2 linked regions of the Cricetulus griseus genome follow. The protein of the gene in region 2 interacts with the protein of the main gene of each other region in a pairwise test. Links are inferred from orthologs where the notes say so. Each region holds a gene or a part of one and is shown on either strand. Other genes may lie near its edges. The genes, in order: Ttc23l and melanoma inhibitory activity protein 2.

What was found.
Region 1: the proteins of melanoma inhibitory activity protein 2 (region 2) and Ttc23l interact in binary tests that used the Homo sapiens proteins (3 or more experiments, as listed by UniProt). The two-hybrid records come from large-scale screens. The link is inferred for Cricetulus griseus from reciprocal best matches to the Homo sapiens genes MIA2 and TTC23L.

What each region holds. Positions count from the first base shown.
Region 1 is NC_048595.1:343,791,412-343,798,714, reverse strand, and holds part of Ttc23l (tetratricopeptide repeat protein 23-like), read left to right. Parts: intron 1-2,387; coding exon 2,388-2,565; intron 2,566-6,165; coding exon 6,166-6,274; intron 6,275-7,303.
Region 2 is NC_048598.1:143,367,699-143,374,462, forward strand, and holds the end of melanoma inhibitory activity protein 2, read right to left. Parts: intron 6,432-6,764; coding exon 6,373-6,431; intron 5,071-6,372; coding exon 4,830-5,070; intron 3,663-4,829; coding exon 3,499-3,662; 3' UTR 3,096-3,498; downstream 1-3,095. UniProt on the Homo sapiens protein: Plays a role in the transport of cargos that are too large to fit into COPII-coated vesicles and require specific mechanisms to be incorporated into membrane-bound carriers and exported from the endoplasmic reticulum.

The sequences.
Region 1 (7,303 bases), on a different chromosome or scaffold from region 2:
AGCTATGGACAGACATGCACTGTTAAGGAAAGCTCTGTTCTGTGTAGAAACAGAGTCCATGGGATTTGTTTAAGCCAGAACAAGACTTAAAACTGTTTTGAGATGAGTTAAGAATCCCCCGAGAATGGAGAATTTAGAAAGGGGAGTGGGCCAATCAGATTATCAGGAAAAAGAAATAATGAAAGTTTACTGTTCCCCAGATTTTTCAAATATCTTCACATCCTTGAAAGAAATCTCTTTCCAAAAGCTATAAGCACTTGGCACAGTAGGGCAGATGACTGAATGCTAAGTAAATGAAACACATGCGTCACATCTGCCTGCTCTAAACAGCCATGAATCTAGAAGTCAAATGGGACATGGTGGGGACATGTTGGAATGTTCAGAGCAAAGTCAGACTATTGACTCAAATCCATAGGGCCATAGTTAGAGTCTGGTGAATGTCTCCTGCTGTCACAGAGGGCACTACTTAAAGGTTATCTGCCTTATGTGAAACAAAAACCACGTTGTCTTTTCTCAATTCTAGTGTTTATTTTACTCATTCACACCAGTATCTGTTTTGTGTGTGTACTAAGTGTTAGAATGCTTACTCTGTATAATACATACCACACAGTGTTTGAGTGCTTTGAAGTTTTATTTCTTTCAGGCCTTGCTGTAACCTATGAGGGTAGGCATTCTTAATATTTTTATTTGACAGATAAGAAAATAAGGCACTGGGCAGTTGTGGTGCATACCTTTAATCCCAGCACTTGAGAGGCAGAGGCAGGTGGATCTCTGTGAGTTGGAGGCCAGCCTGGTCTACAAAGCAAGTTCTAGGATAGCTAGGACTAGTTACACAGACAAACTATCTTAAAAAAAAATGGCCCAGGAAGATTAACTGAAGGTGACAGAATTAGTTGAAGAACTTGGCTTATCATTGAAACATCTGAATTCATAGCTTATCTTCTGTACCATGCTGTTATAGTTGATATATATCAAATATCTAGTAAAGACAAATATCTAGTAATGCCTTTTTTCCATTGAAGGGCAGAGACACTAAGACAAGATTGTTCAGGTTAAACAACTTGCTAAAATCTCCCTTAAAGCTCTTGATGGGAGCCATCCTTAATGTCTGAAGAATAAGAGAAATACATTTGGTCAAGAGAACATTTGTGTGGTTGATAGAAGAGATTATCGCTTCAAAGAACGATTAGATAACCTGTCAGTGCCCTTGATCATTCACACTCATCTTGAGGACAAGATAAGTCTGTTAGAATAGCCAGCTGACAGGCCTTTTGCTCTCTTCAGGTGCGAGTCACAAATAGGCAGCCCTGAGTTCTTTTTTATTGAGTCAAACTCAATGCTGTTGCCCAGGCTGTCCTTAAATTTATAGGAATCATCCTGCTTCTGTCTCATGAGTGCTGGACATAAAGTTGTGGGCCATCATATTTAGCCAAGAGTTTTGGGGGCTCACAACACCTAACACCTAGAGCTTTATGATTTTAGAAGCCAGAAATTTGTAGCTCCTGGTGCTCAGGCAGAGGCATTTTTCTCTGGGCGTTGAGTCCTGTCACCCTACAGTAAATGGTATGTCATCTCCGGAGTCAGGACCCTCACCTTTTAATCATTGATAGCTCTTTAGATCTTCACTTGAGAGTCTTGCAATACCAGCTTTCAGAGCCTCTTGCCTCCTACAGTCTTAGCTCTCCAGTTCCAAACCCTAGCTGTGCTCTCTGGAACTCTTCAGACACTTTTTTTTTTTTTTTTTGCTGATAGGAGGTCAACAAATGACAGTTCTGGAGAATGCTCTGTAGGACAATGCACAGGATATTGTCCTACTGAGAAGCCCCCATACTGACCTGAAATAGCATGAAAATGTGTCTGCTTGTGAGCCAGAAGAGGTGCATGGCATGCTTATGTACAGCTTCTAATTCCATAGTGGCAGCCTCCCATGTACAGGACTGCTAGTTCTACCAGCTATGAGTTCCAATCATATCGACCAATCACCTGAGTTACTTACTCATGTAAGCATGTCAATCACAAGCTTTTTGCTGAGTCCTTAGGGCTGGTGCTTATCCCACCTTTACTGATATTACAAGACCCACATCTGTGCTTCTGAGTAAATCATCCCCCGTCTTATGACTTTCTGGGTGACATTTTTCCGTTTGTATTTTTATGAAAATTACAGAAGAGTAAAACATATTAACGTGTTAAGCTAATGGTGGTAGTCTGTGGGATCTTGTGGGCAAAATTCAGAATAATGGGGGTTTGTTTAAAGCAATCTTGGATTTTGAGCCAGCTGTCCAGATGATTTGTCTATGAAGACAAATTCTTCTTGGAATTAATTCCTTATGTGTCTGCAAAGGAAGTGGCCTCTGTGTGACTTTCCACCTTCTTTCTTTGTCTTGTAGAGCTTCCTTAGCCATGCACAGGATGAACCTAGCTCTGGCATACTTTGAAAAGGCAATTGGTAGTGTCATCATGGCCAAGGGTTATGGCACATCAGAGCTGATTAGCCTATATGAAGAAATCGCTCAGATTGAGCAGCTGAGGAGGAACCATGAGCAAGCCATCCAGTATTTGCAGCAGGTTGGTTCTTTGGCAAGGTGATCTTGTTTGGCTCCAGGCCCAGTTGATTCTCATAACCAGGAGTTAAGGATTGGTTCCTTACTTTAACCCTAACATCCTAAGGGGCAGAATTGGTTCCATGTTAACTTTTTCTTTGTCCTTTTTTAAATTTAAATTAGAAACAAGCTTCTTTTACATGCCAATCCCAGTTCCCTCTCCCTCATGCCTCCTCCCCTGCCCCACGCTAACCCCCTATCCCATCCCCTTTCTGCTCCCCAGGGAGGGTGAGGCCTTCCATGGGGGAATCTTCAAAGTCATTTGGAGCAGGGCCTAGACCCTCTCCTGTGTGTCTAGGCTGAGAGAGTATCCCTCTAGGTTTCATGTTATTAACTAGGGTTTTATTGGTGTAAACAGACACCATGACCATGGCAACTGTTATAAGGAAAACAATTGAGGGTACTGGTTTAAGTTTCAGAGGTTCAGTCTATTATCATCATGGGGGGTGTCGGGGGGGGGGGGCATGGCAGCATGCAGGCAGGTGGGGTGCTGGAGGAATAGCTGAGAGTCCTACATCTTGAAGAAAACAGGAAGTTGACTGACTCACAGGGCACTATTCCTCAAAGCCCACCCCCAAAGTGATACACTTCTTCCAACAAGGCATACCCACTCCAACAAAGCCACACCTCCTAATAGTGCCACTCCTTATAAGATTATTGGGGCCAATTGCATTCAAAGTACCACACATGTTAACCTTGACTTACTCCAACCCCAAACAAGAGCCTCAAACTTAAAAACATAACCAGAGGCCCGTAACTCTAGTGAACATATATGTTCTGTGACCTGACCAGGAAGTAGCACATCCCCTCCTAGGCCTCTCATCTCTGTCAATGCTGGGAAGAAACCAAGCTTGAGTCGACCCCAAGACATAAAACACATTAGGGCAGCTGAACTTGACTTAAAGAACACAAAAAGGGAAGACTGGTGAGACAGTTCAAAGGTGTTTGCTAGGCAAACACCTGGTAACCAAAGTTTGATCCCAGGAACCCAAGTGAAAGTGGAAGGAACAGTAGATTCCACATAGTAGCTCTCTCGCCTAGACATGTTGTCTGTACACAAGCAAGTAATAATAGTAATAATACTATTTGTCTGCATATACAAACAAGTAACAGTAGTTATAAAAAATGATTTTTAATTCTTGGCCTATAAAGAGTGGCACTATTAGGAGGTGTGGTCTTGTTGGAGTAGGTGTAGCTTTGTTGGAGGAAATGTGTTACTGTAGAGTCAGGCTTTGAGATCCTATATATACTCAAGCCATACACAGTGTGATAGTTCATTTCCTGTCTCCTATGGATCAGATGTAGAATTCTCAGTTCCTTCCCCAACACCGTGTCTTCCTGCATGCCACCAGGCTTCCTGCCATGACAGCAATGAACTAAACTGTAAGTCAGCACCAATGAAATGTTTTCCTTTATAAAAGCTGTCATTGGATTTTGGGAGCCCATTCAACATAGAGGGATACTCCCTGAGCCTAGACACACAGGAGTGGGCCTAGGCCCTATCCCAAAGTATATGACAGACTCTGAAGACCCCCTATGGAAAGTCTCACCTTTCCTGGAGAGCAGAAAGGGTATGGGGTAGGTAGGTGTTAGTTGTGGGGGCAGGGGAGGAGGTGAGGGAGAGGGAACTGAGATTGCCATGTAAAACAATCTTGTTTCTAATCAAATTAAAAAATGGAGGAAAAAAAGAAACTGAAAATAAAATAAAATAAAATAAAAGCTGCCATGGTTATGGTGTTTCTTCACAGCAATAGAAACCCTAAGGCAGGTTTCTTATTTGAAAAGCCATGACATTTTGTTATATCAGATGTCCTGTCAGTTCACTGCAGCTGGTTTTATTTCCAAATCTATGGTTAAACAAATAAAAGTGTATCTCACTTAGAGGTAACTAATTGACAAATACTTGTGGCAAGCTAAAACAAAGGAACAAATATTGAGCCTCTGATATAAAAACCATTTTAGGCACTTCCCTTTAAAATGTACTTAAACTGTTAGTTAAATTCACCTTTCTTCTGAATAAAATGTTGCAGTGCTGTCAGAAATCTGCTTTCACAACAGATTATACTGACATACGGGATTTCATACATGGGGAAAGTAGTAGCACAGCTACTTATGTCAAAAGCCATAGAGCTAAGAACAGGTGTGGGAAACAATTTGACAACCCAAGTTTATAAACACCAGGCAATGGAGAGAAGCATTAGGGGATCTGCTTTTGTGCCAGAGTCACTGCCTGCAGAGGAAGGCATGAGTTTTGAATTCAAGGCTCTCTTAAAACTGTGGACAAGCCAGGCAGTGGTGGCACACACCGTTTATCCTAGCTTTCTGGAGGCAGAGGCAGGTAGATCTCTGAGTTTGAGGACAGTCCGGTCTACAAAGTGAGTTTCAGGGCAGCCAGGGCTATACAGAGAATCCCTGCCTTGAAAACCCCAAAACCAACCAAATAAACAAAAATTGATCAAATTAGAATGAAGAAAGTAGTAATGTTTATATCAATGTTTATAACAAAACCAAAAAATCAGAGTTAACATTTATTATTGTGTGCACTTGAGTATGTATTTCATTTCACAGAGATTTATGGCTGATTCAGCTGAAGTTGCTTGGCTGATAGGTTGCAAAGCAGAGATTTGAACTCAGGAAATCTAACCCAGTAGCTTATAGTTAATGGAACAGTGTGCACACTTTGCACTGTCTTGGCTTCATAGTGGGTGGGTGATGATAATCCCTTTAGCTTCTTGAGATAGTTAAGGGTTGGCTGGTGAACTGTCATGCATGGGTGCTTCTTTCCTTGCTGGTAGCTACAAGTCAGCTGTTTTCACTCTTCTTTCTTCTTAAGTGACATACTTCCCATTAAAATACAAATAATATTAATAATACAACTAATTATTATCTTACACTTCTTTAATGGTTACTGAATGCCAGGTGATACTATAAAACACTTCACACATGTTGACCTATTTAACATTTACAGCAACTATTTGTAACAAATTCTATTTTTATCATCTTTTTATCCTATATTTGAAGAAGATAAGGGACCATTCTCTATCATGGTAAGTGGCTAAGCAGTACTGGATCTCTTGGACCCATGTTTTATGATTCTTTGATAGTGAATTCTTGAGATTCTGGGCTAATGTTGTAGTTACAGTCTGCTGTGAGACCCAGTGGAAGTAATGAAGCTAAGATTTAGTTAGAACTGACCAGATGATGGATAGTGCCCAGTGTTTGCATATGGCGACTCCTTTAATCTTTTCTGAGCCCTAATCCGTAAGACCCATACATTCCATCCTGCATAAGAAGGTGAAATTATTTGTTCAAGACCCACAAAAGGAAGTGGCTGCGATGGAACTCAGGCTCCACTCCCATGTAATTCTGTGTTTAGCTGAGTTGGCTCCCAGTCAGCTAGCAATTCTGACAGCTGCTGAAAAATGCAGCAAAAGATGGTCACTGGGTACTGATGTTGTCGTGGGTTTCTAGACTGTCACTGTCACTAGGTACTGATGTTGTCATGAGTTTCTAGACTGTCACTGAGTACTGATATTGTCATGTTTTTCTTTTTTTTTTCCCCCAGGCCTATTCTATTTGTGTTTCTTCATTTTCTGAAATCAGCCCCCAAACTGCTGAGGCGAGTGCTCTACTAGCTAAAGCTTATGCCATGTCCGGAGAATCCCAGCACAGGGGTAGGTACAGGAGGTGGCCTTGCATTTATCATCACTGCCCAGTGATATGAGAAGCAAAGTGATGAATCATCCTTATATAAGTAAGAGATTATAGGTAGCTACTCATGTAACGGAGAGATAAAGCTGGTCATGATTTTGTAAAAAATCAATTCCATAATTACACAGGAGGTTACACCTGATAACATCCTCCCAAACTAATTGAGCACCAAAACCAACTATCTATTTTCTATTTCCTGTACTCCCTTAGAATGTCTGCCACACTTACCTTTCTGAGGTGTAGAGATCACACACATGGTAAGCATTGCTTACCATGAGGACTCAGTAGAAGGGAAGTATCAACTCCTCCTATCTCCCTGCACTCAGCCTTACCTCCTTCCCTCTGTCTTACAAGAGACCATGATGCAGCAGTTAGAATTTCCATGAGCTGTATTCAAAGATAATGCACTAGGATTTCTAGAGGGAAGCTAAGTGTTTAGTGGATTCTCCAGCAAGACACCTCTGTCCAGCAAGGTTGGTGTGAAACTAGGTGGCAGACAGATGGATGAGCTGGTGAGGGAGGAGGCCAATGGACACTGGAGTCTATCAATTAAAGGGACTTTTCTCTGTCTTGGCTCCATAGACGTTGGGGTGGCATCTACCCTGTCAGAGGAATTTGGGATTTGTGCAGAATGTAAAATGTAAAATGTCTTTCCTTTCTGCTTGTAAAATTAATCCATGATGATGCATACTATTTTCCAGCTTGAGAAAGGGGGAGAGGGAGACAGACAGAACTGTAGAGGAAGTCTGCATGTTGTTTTTCTCCTCTTGTTTTCCTATGTTACTAAGTAATTTTTTTTTTAGTTTGAAGCTTTTTTTATTTTGTTTTCTCAATACTAAATATTCATTAAAGACTTCCCGAGTCTGATTTTCCATTTAATATTTTTTTCTCAAGATTTATGTATACTCATAGTGTGTGCATTTCATGTTTAAACAGATTTTCATACTTTGCAGTTATAAGAAACTTGATACATTTGCAAATATGAGGAATAT
Region 2 (6,764 bases):
CACAGCAATAAAAACCCTAACTAGACACCATCCTACCACAGGACACTTGGTCAACTATGTTCTAGCAGCTTTATTCGTAACAGCCAGACACTGGAAACAATCCAGATGTCCCTCATCCTTTAATGGATAAATAAATGTGGTGCATTTACACAATGGAGTGTCACTCGGCTGCTCAAAAAAAAAAAAAAAAATCTGAAATTTTTAGGTAAATAAATGAAATTAGAAAAAAAAAATCATCCAGAGTGAGGTATCACAGACCCCAGAAAAACAAACATGATATATACCCACTTATAAGTGGGTATTAGTTATTAAGAATAAGATAATCATGCTACAATCCAGAGAGGCTAAGAGACAAGGAGAGTGGAGGGGAGGATATGCATATATCTCCCTAGGAAGAGGAAATACAATAGTGAGTGAGTGGACTGGGGGCAGATGGGAGTGGAAACAGGAGGGATCAGTTGAGGGTGGAGGATAGGGAGTGAGAGTACTGGGAGAGATGAGTGGAATGTGGGGGGCGTATTTCAGGGATGAGATAGAAACCTATTGCAATAAAAACTCCCAGCAATCTACAAGGGTGACCCCAGCTAAGACTGGTATTAGGGGATCCACACTCTGAACCTGCCATATTCTATAACCAGGTGAGGCTTCCAGTAGAGAGACTGAGAGACCAACTCATTAACAAAACCTTCAACTTACAAGTAGTCATGGCTGCAAAAATATGGTGGGGTAAAAGTGGCTTATAACTTGTGGGAGTGACCAACTGTGATGGTTTTAAAGAAAATGGTTCCCAAAGGGAGTGGCACTACTAGGAGATATTGCCTTGTTGGAGGAAGTGTCACTGTGGGGGAGGGGAGAGAGGGAGAACTAGGGTTTATATGTAAAATGAAAAAAAAATTAATGTTTATGGGTCTATGTAAATATATGATATGACCTAAATACATGAATCTATATTCAAAAAGATATTGGAAAGCCAGAAGGGACCATCACCTGGAGCGATGTAAACATTACCTCCTAACAGATGCTTTCCATTGTTTCAACCAATGTCTACCTTTCTGCAAGGATTATACATTGCTTTTCTTTATTTTTAAAAATTAGGCAGAGAAGATTACACATATAACCTATAATTACACACTCTTACTGGTCAACAGTAATGCCCAATTTAATTTCTTGAGCTTTAACCTGTCCCATTATCACTTCAAGTAGCCTAAGTATAAAGGTAACTAAATGTGTTACTGTTTCAGGCTCTTGTCTTGATGCTAAGAACAAACTATGACTGAGCCAGAAACTGGGTCACTAGGATTCACAGACAAGGAAACCTAAATTTTGTATGTGATTATTACGGGCCTGAATTAGCACTTAAATTATACATTTGATTTCTTCAATTGCAAATCTTAGGTCAGATATGGAACAATTATGCATGTTTGTATGCACAATAAAATTCATAGCATACTGGAAGTATAAATTGCTAACAGAAAGTAAGATCCTGACCAGGGAGACAAAGAAGAAAAGTGGGTTTAAACAGAGATTTAATGATGTCAAGAATACAAATGTTTCAATATAAAACTTGACTATAGATCGTAACTTCTTTCTTCATAGGAACAATACATAAACTGACAAATTTGCTGAACCAAGTAATAAAATGGAAGGAGTAGAATTTCATGTTGTAAAAATCTAGAATAAGAACAGGGAAAACAGTGAATTCAATGAAAAGCTTTTCTTTCTGTGTAGAGCAGAAATACCTCCTGACCATTGTTCCCAATGATGCTCAGGAAACATTCCAGTTACAATCACACCACTGTGCTTCAGTCCCTTAACACTGAAGAAAAAACCCAACTTAACAGGCTAAACACACTTATAGGAAATTCATTGGTTGGGTCTCACTCTCCATTCCTATCAGTGTGCAAGACCAAGAACAGGAACACTAGTCTGAAGACACTTGAACTCCCTTCCTTAAAAAGAGGGGCCTTGTGATGGTTACACTGTGGCAACTCTCAACACAGCCCACAGAACACAATCAACATCTTACAAGTTAACTATAAAATGTCAGGCTTGGTAGTGCTCTTAATCCCAGCACTCCATGGGCAGAAACAGGAATACTTCCAAATTCAAGGCCAACTTGGTCAACACAGCAAGTTCCAGGACAACCAGGGCTACACACAGAAACCGAGTGTCTAAGAAAGAAACAAACAAAATCAAAAAATAAAGTGAGAGAAAGAGAAATTATGTAAGAAAACCACTCAGTAGGACTGGCAGGATACAGAGGAAAGTGCTCACTGTGTGATCCTGAGAACTTGAGCTGTCTCCAGAACCCAATGTAGAAAGATAATCTTCCAGCTGTCCTCTGATCACCATACATCCTGCACGAGAGTGGGCTTGTGTGTGCCTGCTGTTGTGTGTGCGCTCTCTCTCTCTCTCTCTCTCTCTCTCTCTCTCTCTCTCTCTCTTCCTCTCTCTCCCTCTCTCTCTCACACACACACATTGTTTTTGAACTGTTAAAAGAAAACTAGCCAGTGAAATAAGTTTAAACAATTCTGAAATTCATCATTAGACAACATCCCCACTTTCTTTAAAATTTAATCCATATTTAAATTTTTAAATTTTATTACTTTGAGTCATTCATATCTAACTCTTAAGAAGTAGGATACATATTTTGCAAGATAATTAAATCAGAAAACCCACAATGCATTACCTTTTTCTATAATGTACATATGCAGATGTTTTGTCTACATGCATGCCTGTGCACTACACACGCCTGTGCATTAATCCATTCCTGCTGCACCACATGCATACCTTGCACACTACATGCATCCCTGGTGTTCTGAATGCATGTCTGTGCACTACATGTATGTATATCTTTGCACTACATGCATGCGTGTGTACTACATGCATTCCTAGTACACTTGGAAGCTGAAGAGGCCATTGGATTCTCCAAAGCTGGAACTGCCATGTGGATGCTGGGAACCAAGCCCAGTCCTCTGTTCTGCATGAGCACCCTGACTTAACCACTGAGCCACCATCTCTCCAACCCCAGACACTTCCCTTTTGAACCACTGAATTATTGGTACAGGTAAAAAGACTAAATTATGGAGCCATGCTTATGTGAAACTGGCTGGTTTTATTATTATCAATGCCAAACAAGACTTTAATTGAATTAAAATTTATTTGATTAAACAGTTACCTTTACATTTGTCTACACCATGGTGAACATATTCCTGGTAGAAACACACAGCCTTTTAGGTTTAAGATATCCCCAACTCTAAGATTACATGTATAAAACTACCATAATTATGGATGAGGTAATCAAAGTAAAATATACTATCCAGAATGAAATAAAATGGAAATAATTTACTCATAAAATTCATATTTAAATCTTTATTTACAAAATACTATCCTGAGAATTATAATTCCATTAAGCTTCAATTTGAGCAACAATGTAATCACATAAGTAACAGCAGTTACTTAAAAAGAAAAGGAGAAGAAATGACTCCGAGGAAACTGTCAGGTCTCCTGTGTTTCTGGAGGTTCAGGTGCAGGTTGTTTGGAAGGAGGAATCAAGTCTGGGGGCAGCTCATTTCTACTTTCAGGATGTGGGGGTGGGGGGAAGAACCCAGCTCTTGGGGGAAGGTAAGGTGGAAAGCCCCTCGGTTCGTACACATTTCTCCCTGTTCGAAGAGATGGATAAAGGACAGTGAAACCCCATACTGCACACTTGTTAAACCACTAGCTCCAGCCGCTATTCTGATGTCCAAACACTCACAACACAATATTTAATCTCACAAATAAATCTTGACATTGAAAACTGTACTTCTTAACTACATAGGATTAGTAAGAACATCACCATCAGATTCAGCTGTGTTTGTCCTATCTTGGCAGATACCCTAGATCCCAATACACTCAAGACTTACTGTAAAACAGCTTTTTAACGAAGTAAAATTTTCAACTTCACATTCAGATCAGTGATCCTGACCTGATATCCTACTGAAAACATTTCCTGTAATGTCAAGGATGACCTTAAAACGTCCCAAACAAAACTCATTTCATTCCTCTAGAAGATTAAGAGTAGAGGTGAGGGCAGAGAGCAGACACCTAGGACAAGCTGGTTCTTTCTAGTACTTGAATCATGATTTACTGTGTAGAAACTTGTGATTCTAAAGGGTAAAGTATGCTATAAAGGCAATAAATTACTTTTATTCTAAAATGTAAGGGTATGAAGGAATTTCAATAAATTCAACAAATAACTAAATTTGATCTTAGATTTTAAATATGATCATGTGGGAACTACTATTTATGAAAAATACCTTAAAACACTTTAGTCAGTAATCTTAAGACAAAAATATACGCAATTACTTTAAATAATGGCCGAAATACATTTCTATCAAATGAAATACACATAATTTTAATCTTAAAACTTCTTGTAGCTGTGCATTGGTGGCACACACTTTCAATCCCAGCACTTGGAAAGTAGACAGGTGGATCCCTGTGAGTTCAAGGTTAGCCTGGTCTACAGAGTAATAGTTCCAGGACAGGCTCCAAAGCTATAGACAAACCCTGCCTTGAGGAAAAAAAAACAAAACAAAACAAAAACAAAAAACAAGAAAGAGACCCGTTTGTAATCTTACTGATTTTCCGACCTATCACAATACAGTTAAAATTCAAAACTACCTAAGGTAGATCAAGGTGAAGCCTTGGCCTCCTTTGTTGCTGGACTGTAACCTGTGAGCCATATAAACTCTTTCCTCCTCAAGTTGGTTCTGACCAGTGTTTATCACAGTAACAAGAAAAGCACAGATAAATGTTGACACATACATGGACTTTTTAAAAAAGCCTACCTGGGAATGGCGGGAAGGGCGGGCCAGCAAAGTCCCTTGGTGGAAAATAGTCTGGAGGACCTGCATAGATGTTTCCTGGAGGAGGTGGTGGGAATGGGGGAGGCCCTCTCATAATGGGTCTTCTTGGATCCCCTGCAAAGGGAGGGCCTCTGGGGCCTCTAAACAGGGGAACTGGTGGAGGGATGAAGCCAGGGCCAGCTGTCTCACATTCAGCAGGAGGAGAGTTGGGCACAGTTGAGTTCTGTAAGAGAGTGACAACCAGCAGTCAGTAAAGCTGCTTGATGCCCAGCTCCTTTCCTGGGATTGTGAGGCATAGAAGAAACAGTCCATGACATTACACAAGGCCTGGGAACAGGCTCAGTTTCCACACCTGTGTAGGAGCCCCTTACATGCTCTCTGAAGTATTTTTACTAACTCAGCAATAAACTTTAAGCTTGGTACTACTAATAGTCTACCTGGCTCTCCCTAAAACACTAGTACAGATTCATACAACAAGGACATCTGTTCAATGATGTTCATAGCAGCACTATTTGTAATAGCTAGAAACTGGAAGCAGCCTAGATGCCCCTCAACTGAAGAATGGATAGAGAAAATGTGGTACATTTACACAATGGAGTACTATTCAGCAGGAAAAAATAAACAACGGAATCTTGAAATTTGCAGGAAAATGGATGGAACTAGAAGAAACCATTCTGAGTGAGGTAACCCAATCACAAAAAGACAAACATGGTATATACTCACTCATATGTGGATTTTAGACATAGAGTAAAGGATTACCAGCCTACACTCCACACTGCCAGAGAAGCTAGTAAACAAGGAGGACCCTAAGAAAGACATACAAGGTCCCCTGGAGAAGGGGAAAGGGTCAAGATCACCTGAGTAAACTGAGAGCAAGGGAAGAGGAGGGAGCTAGGAGAATGAGAAGGGAAGAAGAGGAGGGATGCAGAGGACATGAGGGAGCAGAAAAGGTTGAGTCAGGTGAAGATTAGAAGATAACAAGAATGGAGATACCATAATAGAGGAAGACATAATAGAGGTTTACAGAGATAGCAGGCACTAGGGAAATGTCTAGAGATCTATAAGATGACACCAGCTAACAATCTAAGCAACAGGGGAGAGGCTACCTTAAATGCCCTCCCCTGATAATGAGACTGATATGCCACCCGATAGCCCTCATCCAGTAGCTGGTGGAAGTAGAAGCACCACAACTTATCACTGAACTGAACTGGAACCCAGATGCAGAGAAGGAAGAGTGAAGAGCAAAGGGGTCCAGACCAGGCTGGTGAAACAAATGACCTGAACATCGGGGAACTCTTGCTCCCCAGACTAATAGCAGGGATACCAGCATGGGACTGATCCAGACCCCAGGAATATGGGTTTCATTGAGGAAACCTTGGAAATCTACAGGACCTCCTGTAGTAGATCAGTTCTTATCCCTAGCATAGGTGTGAACTTTGGGAGCCCATTCCACATAGAGGAATACTCCCTGAGCCAAGACACACAGGGGTGGGTACATGGGTAGAATTTACTTTCCAATACTTACCCCAGGGTCACCTTTGGTATCATTCTTCCTGGATTCCAATTTTGAGGACCCTGGCCCATCTAGACAAAGAAATTAAACCAGTAAAAATTCATGAATTCTTACTTTATTCCCTGACCGTTTGCAGATCCAAATACACTGACATTTTCCACTCCCCTTGCTTGGACAGGGAACAACTTGACACAAATACACTAACATTCCACATTAGGATCCCCAAAGCAGCCTGAGACCTGTAGAAATTTCAACAGAACAGACATTCTTTTGCAGTGTGCTGGTCACCTTTCCAGCTGGTTCCCAGGCCTTCTTGCTGCAGTAGCCAAAGTGAACGACTCAGGATGTAGCATCCACTTCCTGTCTTTTCTGTGTGCTCTCTTTTCCCTCAGCACATAATACAT